Caenorhabditis elegans: one gene and its partners. The protein of the gene in region 1 interacts with the protein of each later gene in a pairwise test. Each region holds a gene or a part of one and is shown in the gene's direction. Other genes may lie near its edges.

Region 1 (4,998 bases):
CGAAAATCAGTCATGCGGACTCTATTAGTCTTGCACCCCTACGGGTCAATTGAAAATTAGTCTTGCATTCAAGACTAATAGAGGAAATACGGTAATTGGGTACGATAGGAATACGGTAGGTTTATAAGTTATGTAAGTTTCTACAAATGTAACTACTTCAGTTTCTCTGTACCAAACTTTGAAGAATTTTTTATTACTTTAAAGATCACTGAAATAGTGAGCCGTTGTCTACGAGATCAAATATGTCCGAAAATTACCATTTGGTATCGGTCCTAACAAATCAGTATTTATACCAAAGTTGTTTCTTCGTCAATATTTTGAATTTAATTTAAAAACACATATATTATTCAATTTTCAATCTCACGTGAGAGAGTGTGAGAGAAAAAGAGGAATTTTGAAATAAATGAAATTGAGAGAGGCCGTGCTCCAAGGCTCCATCGATGTCGAATTTGCCATTGGACGTCATTCATAAAATTGTGGAAAAGGTTGAACCAATCGAACGGTATAATCAGAACTAGTTTTTGGAGGATTAATTAAATTGAAAATTTCAGGCTTTCTGTCCGTAAAGTCTGCCGCAACTTTCGTGCAATCGTCGATAATAAGGATCCTGGAATCAAGCGCGTTGTACTTAACATCCATCACTCTCAATTCCAGATGTGGCTGCTTGACGCAAAATCTACTGTAATTCACTATGATTTCAGTCATTCGCATTGCACAGTAAACTACAATGATCGGAATGAGCGCTTTAAAGGAGTGAACGGCTTGAAAATGGCTGAGACAGACTTGTCAGTGGTGATGAAGAACTCGAAACTTCAATTGGAAGTCCTTGAATTCCAAGGATATGATCGTATTCAAAAGAAGGAAACATTTATGAATTGGTTCAAAGAAATGTCCGATTCAAAAAACCTCTACAAGGTAAAAAGAATCGACTTTTCCATTAATCTTCCAACTTTTGCCGCAACAATTTTTCCGCTTCTTCAACCAGGATTTCTAGAAGAAATTTGCATTTACTGCAGCGGGAATCCAGATTACGTCGATCAATTATTTGAAATGGAGCAATGGAAAAGAGCCAAGTCGATTTTTATTGATTCATATGGAGAGAAGCATTTCCCAATTGAAAATCTCTTCCATCTTACCCACTTCTTCATTGATACGGCGTATCTTTCTGTCGCTGATGCTGTTAAAATCAGAGATGTTAGTTTTTTAATGTTCCTTCAAAAAAATTGTCATTTTTTCCAGATTCTCTTGAAATCGACTGTTTTTGAGTCTGGAATCATCACTTCTAGAAATATCTTCAGCGTTGGAGTTGTGCGAGTTTTCAATCCAAATTTCATTGCTAGAAGACCTTTTCGCGTTGACTATGACAATGGCTCTCACTTCAGCCTCTTATACGATCATATTTCTATCAAAATCGAAAAGAAGAAATAAATTAAACTGTTGTTCACTCGTGTGGTTCTCATTAAAATAAACTGTTTTGTTGAAATCTGTTTTTTTTCTTGTTAAATTACAATTTTGAGACATTTTTGTATTAAATTGCAAACCTTGTTGAAAAGTGGAGATTTTCCCGAAAATTTGCTGGAAATTGTGAGAAAAACTATAAGTGAAAAATTGAAATTTATTAGATTTTTTAACTAATTTGCATGGAAATGCATGGATAACCGGTGCAAATTATACAAAACCTCAAGTATTCACGATTTTCTTTTTTTGAGAAAATGATTTTTTGTTTCAATATAGATGAAAAATTGAATTTCAACCCGGAATATTGAGAGTTTCGACGATTTTCTCTCAAGTTTCACGATTTCTAACCAATTTTTGACTCTAAAATTCAGGAAATTTCATTAAAAATCAATAATTTTGAAAACATTTTAAATTAACTTCAATTTAAAAACCGGACTACGGTACACAACTCCGCAAACACCGCACGGCGTGTTCTGTCTACCGTAGTACGGCGCAATAAAAAAAAATAAATTTTTTTCCAATTTTCGAACTTTTCACCCAATTTTCGGCGCTTTTTTGCTGATTTTCGACGAAAAACTGAAGGAATTAACAAGCGCAATGGAAGGTTCGTGCTTTTTCAACTTGAAAAAGGTAAAATTCGAAAAAAAAAATACCTCTTAGGATTCAATTTTTCCATTAATTCCGCAATTTTTCCATCCTAAATTGATATTTCTCACAGAATTGTTTGATTTGTCTTATTTTCCGGCAAAATAATGTTTGAATTCGATAAAAATCGGAAAAATTCGGCTGAAAATGGTGGAATTTACGCCAAAATCCAGATTTTTCGACTTTTCAGCAAGTTTTTGGGTAAAACTACGCCGTTTTGACGAAAATTGCAAGAAAATTGACTTAAAATTTGACTGTATAATTTATGAGTTAAAATTTAAATTCTACTGGTTTTCCGGTAAAATTGCAGTTTTTATTGTTACAAAAGTTCTAAAAAACTGAATTTTGCCTTAAAAAACCCGTTTTTCTGGAATTTTTTGCTGAAAAAATTGAAAAATTGCTTTAAATCTCGTTTTTAAATCAATTTTTCTGTCAAAATCTAACGAAATCTCTCAAATTTTCGATTGGTCTGCTAGCGTTTTTTGTAGTTTGTAGTCTAGCAGATTAAATTTCTGAGATTGGGTCTGCCAGACTACAAATTACAAAATGTATTTAGCAGACCCATCACTTTTTCGACTAAATTTTGCGTTTTCAGGTGAAATTAAGCAGATTTAAAGGAAAAAACTCAGTTTTTCACAGAAAACCGACAAAAAATATGAATTTTTCGTATTTTCAGAGTTTTTTCGGCGAAAATTGTGATTTTATGCATAATTCTCTGTGAAAATTGATTTTTTAAGTCAATTTTCGTGAATTTTCACATTAAAATGTCGAGAAAATGCACATTTTGAGATATTTCCCGCAAAAAAATCAGGAAAAAATGCTCAAAATTGGCGATTTTTACCAAGTTTTATGGTCTGCCAGACTACAAACTACACAAAATGTATTTAGCAGACCCAAAAAAAAACATTTTTCGCGAATTTTTTTGATTTTTTTCTTGCATTTTTGATCAATTAGCATTAAAATTCACTAATTTTCCTCCCCAATTCCAGAAAAACCGGTTTTTCTGGAATTTTTTGCTGAAAAAATTAAAAAATTACTTTAAATCTCGTTTTTAAATCAATTTTTCTGTCAAAATCTAACGAAATCTCTCAAATTTTCGATTGGTCTGCTAGCGTTTTTTGTAGTTTGTAGTCTAGCAGACCCGAGTGGGTCTGCTAGACTACAAACTACAAAACGTATTTGGCAGACCCATAGTTTTTTCGACTAAATGTTGCGTTTTCATGTGAAAATACGCAGATTTAGACGGAAAAAACTCGGTTTCCCATAGAAAAATATGAATTTTTCGTTTTCTTAGACGGTTTTTTGGCGAAAATTGTGATTTTACTCATATTTCTCTGTAAAAATCGATTTTTGAGTCAATTTTCGTGAATTTTCATATTCAAATTGCGAGAAAATTCAAAATTTGAATTTTTCCAGCGAAAAAATCAGGAAAACTGCCCAAAATCACAGCGAAATTGACGATTTTTACCTAGTTTTATGGTCTGCCAGACTACAAACTACACAAAATGTATTTAGCAGACCCAAAAAAAAAATTTTCGCGAATTTTTTTTATTTTTTCTTGTATTTTTGACCAATTAGCATTAAAATTCACTAATTTTCCTCCCCAATTCCAGAAAAGCCGGTTTTTCTGGAATTTTTTGAAAAAAATTTGAAAAATTGCTTTAAACCTCGTTTTTAAATCATTTTCCTCTCAAAATCTGACGAAAATCTCTCAATTTTTCGATTGGTATGCTAGCGTTTTTTGTAGTTTGTAGTCTAGCAGACCAAATTTCTGAGAGTAGGTCTGCTAGACTACAAACTACAAAATGTATTTAGCAGACCCATATTTTTTTCGACGAAATTTTGCGTTTTAGGTGAATATAAGCAGATTTAGACGGAAAAAACTCGGTTTCCCATAGAAAAATATGCATTTTTTTTAAACGGTTTTTTGGCGAAAAATTGTGATTTTATGCGTAATTCTGTGTGAAAATTGATTTTTTAAGGCAATAATCGTTAATTTTTCCTGAAAAATTCCGCGAAAATGCAAGATTTGAATTTTTTTCCCGCGAAAAAATCAGAAATCTGCTCAAAATAACAGCAAAATTGACGATTTTTACCAAGTTTTATGGTCTGCCAGACTACAAACTACAAAAATTGTATTTAGCAGACCCAAAATCCATTTTTTTTTCGCGAATTTTTGGATTTTTTCATGCATTTTTTATTAATCAGCATTAAAATTCGCTAATTTTCTCCCACATTTAGGAAAAAATCGATTTTTTTTTGCCAAATTGCCCCGCTCTCGCCGTTCTTTTTGGCCATCTGCTCTCCGAATAACACTTGGCATGCTGCCAAGTGTCCCACCAACAAATCCCATCGATTTTCGATGTTGGCGAGGGACAAAAAGTGACGACGATTAGAGAGCATTGAGAGCTGAGAGAGACGAGAGAAAACATGGAACCTCTCGTTGTCTGCCGTCTCTTCATCTCATCATTGTGTCCGTCAACTGACTCATTTCTTCGTATTTACGCGCTCTTTTTTCGAAGGAGGACGCGTTCCGTTTTTTTTTTTGGTTTCGTACAAATTTTTGGTTTTTTACGCGATTTTCTCGAAATTGCGTGTGAAAATTTGCAAAAAATTCGATTTTTCGTTTCAAAATCGAGCTTTCCTTCTAAATTATCAAATATAATCGTAAAATCGGTTTTTCTCTACGATTTTTCTTCAAAAGCTGAATTTTTTGCTGAAAAGTGGGTTGAAAATCACGAAAATTGCAAATTTTAACGCTGATCAATAAAAAATGCAAGAAAAATGGATTCTGGGTCTGCTAAATACATTTTGTGTAGTATGTAGTCTGGCAGACCATAAAACTTGGTAAAAATCGCCAGTTTTGCTGTAATTTTGAGCAGTTTTCCTGATGAT
Region 2 (4,888 bases), on another chromosome or scaffold:
TCTAACCCAAGAAGAGCTAGATAACATTGCACAGGCTACTGAAAGTGCTCAGCAAGAATCTAAGCAAGAGCTCACACAAGATGAAATAGATCACATTGCCAGAATTAATGCTATGGCAGCGGAAGACTTTGAACAACCCGCAGTTAATATGAATCAAGGATTGTCACAAGCAGAGAAAGATCATATCGCTCGTATTGAGGCTATGGCAGCGGATGATTCACAATCTAAAATCATTGTTCCTCCTCCTTCAATTATCCAAAAAGATATTGAACTTTCAATGGAAGAAATGGATCACATTGCTCGAATAGCTGCAATGGCTGACGAGGACTTTACACATCCTGTTAAAGGAGCTGTCGCGCCAATTTATGATGAAAATTATAGTAGGGACGATGGTGCAATTGATAGATTCCCAGCTTCGACAGCTACTCCAGTGTTTGCGCAGCCGTCTGAAATTGAACTTTCTGAAGAAGAGCGTGAACATATTTCCAGAATCGCTGCAATGGCTGAAGAAGATTTTAATACACCATACGTTTCAACACATCCAACACAGCAAATTGAAATAGAACTAACGGAAGAAGAAAAAGAACATATTGCAAGGATCGAGGCGATGGCTTCCGAAGATTTAAATGCGCCATCTCCCTTTATCCAACAAGAGCAACGAGTTGCGACAATGCCAGTGCCAATTAATTATCATGTTGAAGAACCAACTCTATCGCAAGAAGAAATTGATCACATTGCAAGAATAACAGCTATGGCTACTGAAGATAACACTGATCTACAAACTCTACCAACTCCTCAAGTTAAACAAAATGAACCGGAGCTCTCCCAAGAAGAAATAGATCACATTACTCGAATAGCTGCAATGGCAAATGAAGACTTTGGAATGTATCCTTCAATTGTTTCTGAACATCCTGCTCCAGTTGAATCTGAACTTACTCAAGAAGAACTTGATCATATCGCTAAGATCACAGGAATGGCATCTATGGACATCAGTACTCTACCACCTCCAACAGGAAAACCATCCGAGACATCACTTACTCAGGAAGAACTTGATCATATTGCTCGCATAGCTGAAATGGCATCAGCAGAATATGATGTTCCTGTAAAAATATTCGAACCACCAGAACTAACTCAAGAGGAACTTGATCATATAGCAAAGATTACTGCAATGGCTGCACAAGATGTCCAACTTCCTGCCACCCAAAGATCGATTACTCATAAGGTTTCGTTGACTCCACCTCCTCCTCCTCCTTCTAAACACTTTGAGCAAGATCTCACTCAAGAAGAGCTTGACCATATTGCAAGAATTGCTGAGATGGCTGATATGGATTATAACACTCCATTCACTGCTGAACCAGTTCAAGATGAAGAAGAAGAACCAATAACAGAAAGTGGATCAGATGCAACATCAGGTGCTGATATATTCGATGAACAAGAAGATGCAAGTTCAGGCGCCAGCGGCTCCTTCGATAACAACAATGCTCAAGTGCTAACGAGCGGCTTCTCTCCAGATCGAGTTACATCTCCTGCTGCACTTGACACAACTGAAGAGCCCCAGGGTCCTATTATGGCTCAGAAGGTGAGAAATAGACGTTGTTTTTTGTGTGCGAGCTGTTTCTATTTTCCCAGCCATAAATACTTTTTTTTCACATTCACCATGTTGCTATGCATGCCGTGGCAATGCAACGGTGTCATTAAATATTATGCAGATAGCGTGACAACTCCCAGATTTTCAACTTTTCCCCTTTTTTGACTACTAAACACTACTATCCAACAGGATTTTATGATTTTCAGACTGTGTCTCCGACGCCATCAGCAGATTCGATGGCGTCACGGAAGAGTAGTGAATACGACATTAGAAGTATATCAGAGATTAGGCAAGAGTCCGAGTCGGATATCGGAAAGTGGTATGCTGAATTTTTAATAAACCTTTTTTTTTCTTTTTGAAAATTAGTGTTTCAATTTTACTATTTTGTTCAGGTATGAGGAGCAACTCAGTTTCATGCGACAATCGATCCACGATGAGGAAGAAGATGTGGGGCGTAAGTGGTTTAAAAAAAAAACTTTTATGCGCTTCAGTGTAGGTACACAGAGGCCTACTCACCTACCTAGTATAATTTGCTAAAACAAATTCTACTCGACAAGAGAATTTCTACAGCAAAGAAAGCAAAAGCTAGATAAAATGTTATCAAAAATATTTTACAAGAGTGTTTAATTAATTCTTAATTCTACAAAAAACAATTCTAATTGCAATCAGCAGACTTTTATCTGAACTTTCAAAATTTTCCACTATCCACTCTGTTTTTGACTCAGAAAAACGTCCAAATAAAAGAAATGACTGAATATAATTTCATTAGACCTATGTAATACAAATATTACATTTTTCTTCTCTATTTACTTTTTTATTTTTGAAATTTCAGATGAAATTCGAACTGACGTTGAAGAGTTCCCATTGGAGTATGTTGAGGATCAACTTCACTTCCTTGAAGGTGAGTTTTCTGTCAAAAATGAAAAATTCATAGCACAAATCAAAAAGCGAGACGAAGAGACCAAATCTCAAAGCAAAAAAACATATATTTGCAGGTATTGACGTAGAGAGCCAACACCATGAGCCCACCACTTCTTCTGCCTTCTTTGGCACCGGAAGATCGATTGGTGAAGGGGAAAAGAGAAAATATGGTGACGACGCCGTGGAGCAGCAAAAACTGGAGAACTACGAAGAGGAGGAGAAGACGAAGAGTAGTAGTCGTGAGGCTTTTGATGATGGATTTGAGACGCAGAGAGAAGAGTCGTTGAGGGCGCAGCAGACACCCATCGATTCACTGCCGGGTAGTCGTATGTTGAAGCGACCCAATTTCGGCTTCCTTTCTAATATTGCAAATGATGCTATTAATAAGGTAAGTAATTGAATATTCACTATGACCTATCAGACTTCACCGTTTGAAAAAAGACCATGAACAAAAAACTAAAACTCAAAAGACTACGTTTTTGAAACTGTAAATGCGCGAAGCTATTCAAAATATTTTCAGTCACTATAGAAATTGTTATTTTTTTTAGAGCTGTTTGACTGAAAATAAATAATTGTCCAAAATTGTTTGACAGGTTTTATTATGATATTTGGTATGGATATTTGAAATGATTTTCCAATAATGTAGAACATATTATGTTGCAACAATTTGTTTTTTTCTGTTATATTCAAATTTACTGTTTTCTAGAAAAAAAACATAGAAATTATGTTAACATCTAAGAAACTCTTCAATCAGCATTTTTTCTTAAAAATAACTAACTTTTACATGCAACATTTTGAGAATATGAGTAGTTTTTTATACACACAAATTTATATATTACATGAATTCATTTTCAAAAAAAAAAAACCATTTCAATGTCAGTATACAAAACCAATTTCGCAGTGTCTTTGACTCTCCAAGAGCAGCTACGATGGGCTCGTTACTCACGGAATTCGACTTTCCGGTCTTTCCAAAATAACGCAAATGTGTTGTTCCCTCATCCAACAAACACTATACAATCATTTGTTCTTCCTTTTTTCTTTTTTTTTTTTAGCGGTCACACATACACCATTCCAAAAGATGTACCCATCGTTTTGGTCTATTTTCCACTTTTTTATGTTTTGTTGTATGTGTCGCTTATGCATAAATGTAGGGTGTGCAACAAAAAGAAACACTTTAGGATTCGGCTCGGGGGACCCCCATGCCTCATTAATTTTTTGCGAGAAGACATGCGTGTGCTCTTCTCTCCTTGTCACTTTCGATAATTGCTCTTTTTGCAGGCAAAGGAAGCGGGTTCGCAAATCCAAGCCGCCGTACCCATCAAGGTGAGTGAACTTTTTTCTTTTTATTCTCTTTCCGTAGGGCTTCCGACCCAATTCAATTATGGTAACACGATTTTGATCTAGATCTCATGACTAAACGCTCACGAGTTTTTCACTTGATTGATTACTTTTTTTTGAGAAACTGCTTTTGGTATTAATATTATAAACAAACAATTAACTAATTCACAAAACGGCTAATGTTTTTAAACATTACTTCTGTAAATTAATTTTTTTGAAATAAATTAAATAACCTCAAAATAATAAAAACTTTTCAGCCATCCTCTTCATCATCAAATATTGTCAACAACAATGTCTTCTCTAGCAGGTAATTGATATTTTGTCAAGTCAACTATAAAAAAAACAATTTCAGCAAATCCTCAACCTCCCTAGGCACCAGTGCTCCAACCAAATCTATTCCGTAAGTAACATAAAACATTCCCAGTATATCAGATTACTCCCCGCACGTACACTTTTCTACCTCCCCTCTTCTTTTTTCTTTTGATTTTCATTTCCTAAATGGTTAATTTTGAAATTACAGCTCTCCACAAATCGGTATTCCGATGGATGGTCTTTCCGAAGAAGAACGTCGACAAATCATGTCAGTTATGGCTGCAGCCGACTTTGACGATTCTGTTAATAATGTAAAACCAAGCACAAGTGGTTCATCAAATATTCCAGCAGGAATGGAGGATCTTTCGGAAGCAGAAAGAGAAAAGATCATGTCAGTTATGGCAAATGCAGAAATGGAGATGGGCGCACGTTTCCCTCCTCCTTCAAGTCAAATTCCAACAAGATCTCCCAGTGTTATGAGTTCAAGTATAATGTCCGAATTACCACCTGGACTCGATGATTTGTCAGATGATGAAAGAATGAAAATTATGGCAGTTATGGCAGAAGCTGATATGCAGAATGTGCGAAAACCCATTGCAAGAGGCCCACCACCAATGCCACCAAGGTTAGTTAGCCGACAATGAGACACCAAAATTTTAAGATTATGAAACACAATGAATGCTTCAAATTTCACTGAAATTATTTCTGGGAATTCAAAAATATGAAACA
Region 3 (3,332 bases), on another chromosome or scaffold:
AATTGAGCAATTTGCTTGATTTTTCTCATTTGGAGCAGTGGTGGCTTTCATTGCATGAGCCTTCTGAGCATTTTGAAGCTCGTTTTGGAGACGTTGAACCTGAAATTCAAGTTTTTTTTTAAATTTTTCAAAATAAAAAATCTCAGTACCTCTGCACTTTTGCGCATGTAACTTCCTTCCAGCACTGTCAGTTTCGACTTGTACTCATCGACCAGAGCTTTTCTGAAATTTGAGTTGTATCGGGTCTCGACACGATCAAAACTTTTATGTAAAGAGTGTGCGCCTATAAGGGGTACTGTAGTTTTTAATCCGTTTTTTTTTTAAATTTTGATACACCATTAAAGGCGCACGCGATCGTGGCGAGACCCGGAAAAAATTCAAAACTACCTTTGTTGCAATTGTGCATCCAAAGTGATTTTCAGCTGTTTTGCCTGAGTTATATTAGATTCAAGCAGTGCTGTGTCACTTTTCGTCAGGTTTAGAATCGCTGAAATTTTCGCAAATTTAAAATTAAAAAAAACGAAGCAAACGCGCTCTATTACACTTAAGCTGATCCACACGATCCGAACCAATCACTGAAGACGCGTCGAGAGCCGTATGAAAATCGGTTGCCGTCTTTGAAATCTCCACTGCCGACTCGATTTTCATGATGGTTGTGCCGAGATCCAGGGAGATGGATTGGACATTTTCCGGAGAATCGAAGAGTTTCTGTAGGGAAAAATTACTTTCTTTTTTTTTGTAAAGTTTTTAATTCAAGCTGAAATTCAGCTGAAAATCGAGAATCTTTCAGTTTTTTTGCTTAATTGCAATTTGAATTTGCGCGTTTTTGTCAAATGCAAGCGCGCTCCATCGAACAACGCTCTCACAAAAAACGCGGAAATTCAAATCGGAATTTAGCGAAAACTGACAGCTTTTCGGTTTTCAACTTGAAATATCATCTTTTCTGAAGGTTTTCGAAAAGTTTTACTTTATTTTTTTTATATGATATTCAATTATTGTACGAAAATAAAACCAACTTTCGGGTCGAAATCTCCACATTCTGGAATTGATGCAGCTTGAAGCACGATTTCATGTCTCGGTCGGAACTTGTTCTGATAAAGTGTGATACACACTTCAATCGGCTCATCGTCACGCAAAACAGCCTGATTTGGGGTTATGAAATATCGAGTTGGAGCATTTGTCTTGAAAAAATTCAGATATTCCAGAGGCTGCTCACACCTGAGCTTAAATACCAGAAATCTCCAATAAATTGGTCCAACACCAGCTAAACTATTCAATTTCAACTTTTGACACGCATTTTTTGGTTGATCAATATCGAAACACACGAATGTCTGAATAAAATTACCGGATAATTCAAGAAATTTTCGAAAATTCTCACTTGATCCAACACGACATACAACTTATGACCGTTAGACTGCTCCATTCACCACTCTTCGATTGGACTAATATTCGAAATAATCGATTTTTGCATTTTTTATACCCCTCCCCTCACCTTCTCTTCCCCAATTTCTGCTTTCCGTGGGGTCACGCCTTTTTTATTTGAACTGCCGCGCAAATCGATTTAAAGGCGCACGCATTTATACGAATGGGTCTCGTTGCGGCGTCTCTAGATTTTCGAATTATTCTCCAGCAGTTTTGGCTGATTTTCAGCTTGTTTTGTCGGTTTTCAGTTGATTTTTAAGATTTTCTTTCGAAAAAATTGAAAAATTAGTGAATTTAAAGGTTCTTCATCGCTTAAAATTTCAATCAATTTCAAAACCTTGATTTCTCGCCGGTATTTATGTAATTTCAAACGATCGGTTTTCAAACGGTTCTTGTGACTTTTAGAAGTTGTTTTGCAGAAATATTCGTTTGTTTCATCTCTTGTATCATCAGAACTCTTTAATTTCTTTCATTTTGAAAGAGTAAAACTTCAATATTCTTATTTCCAGGTCCTAGACAAAAAATCACAACCAACGCCTCAAGATGGTAAGTTTTTCTACAGTTCTCATGGAGATAAATACAAAATATTTTCTTTTCAGACTATCTCCAAGAATAATAAGATGATGGCTCATCTCAACTACAGGATGAAGATCATCCTTCAGGACGGTAGAACCTTCATCGGATTTTTCAAGGCTTTCGACAAGCATATGAACATTTTACTCGCAGAGTGCGAGGAACACAGACAAATCAAGCCAAAGGCCGGAAAGAAGGTATTGTTTTCTGTTTCTGCAGCGTTGATTGAAGACAAAAACCATTTTATTTTCAGACCGATGGAGAAGAAAAGCGAATTCTCGGCCTCGTACTGGTCCGCGGAGAACATATCGTCTCGATGACCGTCGACGGACCACCACCAAGAGATGACGATTCAGTGAGACTCGCCAAGGCCGGAGGAGCTGGAGGTGTCGGACAAGCCAAGCCAGGAGGCCGTGGAATGCCAGCTATGCCAGGAATGCCGGGAATGCCACCAGGCGGAGCACCAGGAGGCCTCTCTGGAGCCATGCGCGGACACGGAGGACCAGGAATGGCAGCCATGCAGCCAGGATATGGCGGCCCACCAGGAGGACGTCCATTCTAAAATTTTGCTATCCAAATCCGCATGTTTCTATCATTTTTCCCACCGATCTTGTATTTTTCTCTGTTCTTTTCATTTTTTGTGGTAGAAATACCTTTAATTATATATTTAATTTATCGATACTCTCTCGGGTGATCGAGATCTTCCCATCACCCACCAATCTTCGTAAGCTGTTCAGAATCTGGAATAAACTTTTTGAATTTTGAGAGATTCAGTAGGCTAGGTTTTTGATAGCTCAATGGTTTTAAACCCAGAATTCTCTATCTTCTAAATTCTCATCTTTTTTTTATTGTAAAACACTTAAAAGTCGTCAGGGAACCATCAAAAAGATGCCTCCAAAGAAGAACGTCGTCGAGGAGAAGCCCGCGTTGATCGGACGTCTTGGTACCAACCTTAAAGTCGGAATTCTGGGTCTTCCGAACGTTGGAAAGTCGACATTCTTCAATGTGCTCACCAAATCCGAAGCACAGGCTGAAAACTTCCCGTTCTGCACCATCGATCCGAATGAGAGCAGAGTACGTTCTTCTGGAAAATTCCAGCGGAATCCTCTGATTTTAAGCCTTTCCAATCGTGCGAAGTCCTTTGATTTTCGGTGTAATACACGCGGAAAACTGATTTTTGCAAAATTTTACAGTTTTCACTGGATTTTTGGACTATTTATTTAATTATTTAACATTTAAAATAGCCCCAAGAGCTGTTTTACATAGATTTTTGCTTGAAATATTATCAATTGAAAAAAAAAGTTAGCTTCTTACAGGTAAAACGCAAAATAAATAGT
Region 4 (4,487 bases), on another chromosome or scaffold:
GGAAAATTGGAAATATGCCAAAACTTCATCTGAAACAAAAGTTAAATGTTTAGTTTCTCTGTAAAAACGTAAAAATGACAAATATTGAAATAGTGAATTGAGACTTGAGAAGACTTTTAGATTTCAAAAAGATTTCAAGACTATTACACAAAAAAAAATCAGACAGAAACAAAAAACAAAAAAAAATTATTAAAAGATTGACACTGACATGTTTAAAAAGTCACAAAACATTTTCGAGTACGTAGTTACTCGAAAAAGAAAACTAAGATCTATATGACGTCATTTTGATCTGACACAGGTGACACATCTCATCCATCCCGTAGCTCTTCTCCCACAGAAACATTTTGTGGTGTGAAGTTACTAGATGCACACTTTACTACTTGAATGGAGGAGGTTAAATGATGAAAGAACAGAAGGATGCTCATTATGATTGTGATGTTTCAAATATTATAATTATTGTTTCACTTTTGCAAGTTCTATAAATTGATTGAAAAATTGACAAAACTCTGGATTCAGAAATTGCATTTTTCAAAATGTGTAAAATTTCAAAAATCGTGTTATAAATTTTAAAAAAGTCCAATGTTTCTGATAAAAAAATGTTTTAATTAGATGAAACACTGAAATTGTTCAGTTTTTGTCAGTGAACAAGAGAAATCACAGAAAAATTGTTCCGAAAGGGACTACTTTACTCCCTATTTGTCTTGAAATCTCTCAAAAATCAGTATCTTAGAAATTATAGTTAACCCACAAAAATACACTTTAAACCGTTCAAAATCTATTCATTATTTTTTCAAATAAGTTCAATATGTTATAGAACATCTTTGATATGAAGCATATAACAAACGTCATCATAAAACATCATATCACGTTCATAAAATCCTTTTCTTTGAGGAATTGTCTTGTTACAGATTGCACAACGGAAACAATCAATATGAAAGAGACGATTAAATGCAACAAGTCCTCGTTCAATTACTGGCAATGAGCATCCTGTAAAATTTGTTTTTTAAGTAATCGTAAGGGGCTCTAATCTTTCCTATATGTAGCTGAGTAATCAAAGTTCGTATAACCCGTGCAAAACCGAATTCACAAGCCATATCATTCAATTTTTAATTTCTACTAATCAGTACTTCGAAGAACTAAAAATACCTGTGCAAGATGGATGATTTGTTTGAATATGACATGCATAACATGATGGTTTCATTGGATCAATTGATGAACGGAAATAACGATTGTCCGAGATTTGAAGCTAAAATTGGATATTTTGAAATTTTGGAAGTGCTTTTTTCCGAACGCTTCCAAAACTAACTTTACAAAAAATGCATTGAATATGATCCCGATGCCACATTCGATTCAGAAAGAAGACAACTTTGTTCTAAAAATTACTTTTTTAAAGGAAATACACCAATTGTGGATTTACCTTTTCGACATCCTCCTCGGCGATTTTGGCTTTACATCCTGCACAATTGATAAACTCAATAGTCATTTTTCTAGTTTATTTGGAAATAAATTATTTTTTATTAAAATTGTATTCTTCGCCTCCGAATTTGTATTTAGTAAGCGGTTGCCACGTAACTGGTATTAAAATTTATTGGTTTTTAATTGAAAACTTCCAAACAAGATACAAAAGTTTATGCATCTCTGCATGGTAATCTCCAAAATACATAAAATATCACAGATTCCTTATTTCTAGGGCAAAATAAGCCATTATACTGAAGCCAAATAATACTGTCCGCCTTTCATGCCTTTCCCTCCCGAGACTCCATCTTTTTTTCCAATCAGATCCAATTTTCGGTGAACAAACAATAATTTGACATGCCTCTGTTGATTAACCGTGTTTTGTGAGCAATTCATTGGCTTTTCGTCGCACAAAAACAATGGGCATTAGGAGCATTTTTTGGAAAGTTGTATCTGGAAGAGGTGAGCACAGTTTGTCCCATTTTTTTTCTAATTTTAGCTGATTAAAAATAAAACCTCCAAAAATGAATTTCAGTGCCCGATAATGGTGGATGGGTTGACAGTATGCAAGTGGATCATTTTGATCCTTATACTCCAGGACAACTAACAAAAAACTTCACAGCAACTGTATAGTTTTCAGTTTTTCCAAATTACCCCAATTTCTAACCTCTCACTTTTAAGGTTGCTGACGAAATTAGTGTAACCCGTGGCACTACAGTTAAAGCAATTTATCGAGATGATCAATGGATTTATGTTGAGGTATCTGATGGAAGAAAAGGATTTGTTCCACAGACATATTGTAAATTGCTTTTGAATTCAAAACACGGTGAAAAGGTGAGCGTTTTAGATGTTCTAGAAAAGTTATTTTTAGTGCAAATCTTAAAGAATGCAACAACACGTGTAATTGTGGCATTTAATGATATTCATTTAAAACTACTGTATCCGGTCTCGACACGACCGAAATATGCGCAAAAGAATGTGCGCCTTGCGAATTACTGTAACCACACTCCTAATTATTTCCAATATTTCATAGATATTTCATAGTTTTGTCATTGAAAAATCGAAGAAAAGTGGTGAAAATCATTGTCACCTTTAGTGAGAACAACTTAGAAGCCACGTGATGTCAGAGAGTCCCATTTCGGTTTGATCTCCAAGAATTTCGGGAATGGAACCGTTGAGAAATCAAATCAAATACTTTTCAGAAAAAGGTGATCGGATCCAGCGCGACACTTGATCGCCGTTGGGAAAAATCAAATTTGCAGAGATTTATCGACAGTCTTCCTGTTCAAAAAGAAGAAGGAGAGGTTTTTAAAATGGTTTGTTTTGAATAAAGCTATTGAATATTCTTTTGATACTATCTGCAGGATGAGATATGCGAAGTTCAAATACTACAGTCATTTGATGGATCAGCTCCAGATGATATATCTGTGAAAGATGGAGAATCTGTCACAGTTTTGAATATATCAGATCCTGAGTGGACCTATATTCGAAATTCGGACAATCAATCTGGTTTTGTACCTTCTTCCCATGTTAAGATTCCACATGAAATATTGCAACAAGCTAGCCGTGTCATTAAAGAAAAATGGTATCGTAAGTTCGCAGTTTTCTGAAACGCTTAAAGGTGTACGGACTTATTCAGATGGGTCATGGGTGTTATTCTGTTTTTTTTTTCAGAATTAAAAGACTCAGAAGACGCGAAAATTTGTTATTTTTGCGCCAAAAATACAGTACCCGGTCTCGACACGATAACAATTTTGTTAAGTGTGAAAACGTGTGCGCCTTTAAAGACTACTGTAATGTAAATACAACTTTTCGTGCTCATAGTTTTTCTCACGATTAGTAAAATAAAATATATGTGTTTTGTGGTTTTTTAAAATAAATAAATACATTTTTTAACGGAGAATTATGAAAAATCTATGCAAATTCCTCAACAACGAAAGTTTGAAGCTACAGTACCCTTTAAAGGCGCACATCCGTTTACATTTGATAAAAAATATTGTCGTGTCGAGATTGAGTACCATATTTTTGGCGCAAAAATTGCAAAGTTTCGCGTATGGGTAATAAAAAATCAAAAGAATCGACTTTAAAATTGTTCACGAAATTCCCGAAAAAAGCAAAAGGGCCGTTGCAAGATAAAAAACTACTGCCATAAATGTTTTTCTCGTGCTTGCGTTTCAAAAGATTGCGAAATAAACTGATTATATTTTGGCTTGGCAAATTTATTTAATTTTTAGGGAAAATGAAAATCTTCTCGTAGTCGAACCTTTTTCTGGAAGATCACCTCTTGATCTAACAGTCCGACCAGGTGAATGGATAAAATGCACTGGAAGACCAGTAGATGATTGGTTGTGGGCCGTCCGAATCGCTGACGAGAAGCAGGGATTTATCCCGAATAAAGTTGTAATTTTGGCGACAGATCTTTGATGTTTGATTTATCGTTTGAATTTGTTTCATACCCGACCCATTAATAAAAATATTTTAAAAAAAGGTGAATTGGAAATGATAATAAATTTAGTGACTGAAGTGGGTAGTAAGAAATACAATCAAGAAACGAATAAATTATTGAAAATAAATAGGATTTAAGGTATTCGTGGGAATCATGAGAGGATAAAAACAGAAGGAGCACACATAACTGGTTATCAGAAAATACATTAAAAGAAAAAGAGATTCTTGTTTTCTGGATTGAACGGGGAGGCGAGATAGGGTAGGATAATTATGATAAAGTTATAAAAATTGCATAAAATTTTAACAAGAGATCCACTGATTTCATTGAGTTGGTCGGTCCATTACAAGACTACACGTACTCTTCAACAATTCATCGCGAAGTTTCCACAAAGCTTTTGTAACATCCTCTTCGCGAGCTACAGGTCGTCCGTTTTCAATTCTCTGAAATTATGAAATATATTTTACAAGAAGAAATAGTCGAACTAACCCTTATCCAATGAGATGGAGCGCGGGCATTTCCAGCTGGTTGGGTATTCCTGGCAGTTGCTCCTAGAGTTCGTTCCCATCGGCTTACCGACTTCTGTCGA

Evidence for each region.
Region 2: the proteins of nova-1 (region 1) and cla-1 interact in a two-hybrid assay, tested with the Caenorhabditis elegans proteins (one large-scale study listed by BioGRID).
Region 3: the proteins of nova-1 (region 1) and snr-2 interact in a two-hybrid assay, tested with the Caenorhabditis elegans proteins (one large-scale study listed by BioGRID).
Region 4: the proteins of nova-1 (region 1) and C26C6.8 interact in a two-hybrid assay, tested with the Caenorhabditis elegans proteins (one large-scale study listed by BioGRID).

The regions. Positions count from the first base shown.
Region 1 is NC_003283.11:18,078,888-18,083,885, reverse strand, and holds the start of nova-1 (K Homology domain-containing protein), read left to right. Parts: upstream 1-1,979; 5' UTR 1,980-2,055; coding exon 2,056-2,062; intron 2,063-3,845; exon of another isoform or gene 3,846-3,930; intron 3,931-4,998. Other genes in the region: fbxa-106 (F-box domain-containing protein), read left to right, coding at 415-502, 552-1,194, 1,240-1,428.
Region 2 is NC_003282.8:7,608,856-7,613,743, forward strand, and holds the start of cla-1 (Protein clarinet), read left to right. Parts: upstream 1-1,824; coding exon 1,825-1,907; intron 1,908-1,980; coding exon 1,981-2,042; intron 2,043-2,420; coding exon 2,421-2,489; intron 2,490-2,583; coding exon 2,584-2,897; intron 2,898-3,787; coding exon 3,788-3,832; intron 3,833-4,104; coding exon 4,105-4,154; intron 4,155-4,199; coding exon 4,200-4,247; intron 4,248-4,367; coding exon 4,368-4,784; intron 4,785-4,888. UniProt on the Caenorhabditis elegans protein: Required for synapse development in the active zone of presynaptic terminals of specific neurons including serotonergic NSM neurons.
Region 3 is NC_003279.8:13,337,466-13,340,797, forward strand, and holds snr-2 (putative small nuclear ribonucleoprotein-associated protein B), read left to right. Parts: upstream 1-1,931; 5' UTR 1,932-1,965; coding exon 1,966-1,968; intron 1,969-2,021; coding exon 2,022-2,192; intron 2,193-2,248; coding exon 2,249-2,557; 3' UTR 2,558-2,759; downstream 2,760-3,332. Other genes in the region: W08E3.4 (Major sperm protein), read right to left, coding at 1-99, 150-222, 388-487, 543-708, 1,017-1,331, 1,379-1,423; ola-1 (Obg-like ATPase 1), read left to right, coding at 2,884-3,069. UniProt on the Caenorhabditis elegans protein: Plays a role in pre-mRNA splicing as a core component of the spliceosomal U1, U2, U4 and U5 small nuclear ribonucleoproteins (snRNPs), the building blocks of the spliceosome.
Region 4 is NC_003279.8:7,502,968-7,507,454, reverse strand, and holds C26C6.8 (SH3 domain-containing protein), read left to right. Parts: upstream 1-1,812; 5' UTR 1,813-1,874; coding exon 1,875-1,917; intron 1,918-1,990; coding exon 1,991-2,082; intron 2,083-2,136; coding exon 2,137-2,289; intron 2,290-2,657; coding exon 2,658-2,771; intron 2,772-2,819; coding exon 2,820-3,040; intron 3,041-3,689; coding exon 3,690-3,879; 3' UTR 3,880-3,932; downstream 3,933-4,487. Other genes in the region: C26C6.6 (LIM zinc-binding domain-containing protein), read right to left, coding at 809-987, 1,147-1,246, 1,307-1,372, 1,418-1,483; pbrm-1 (Bromo domain-containing protein), read right to left, coding at 4,222-4,341, 4,388-4,487.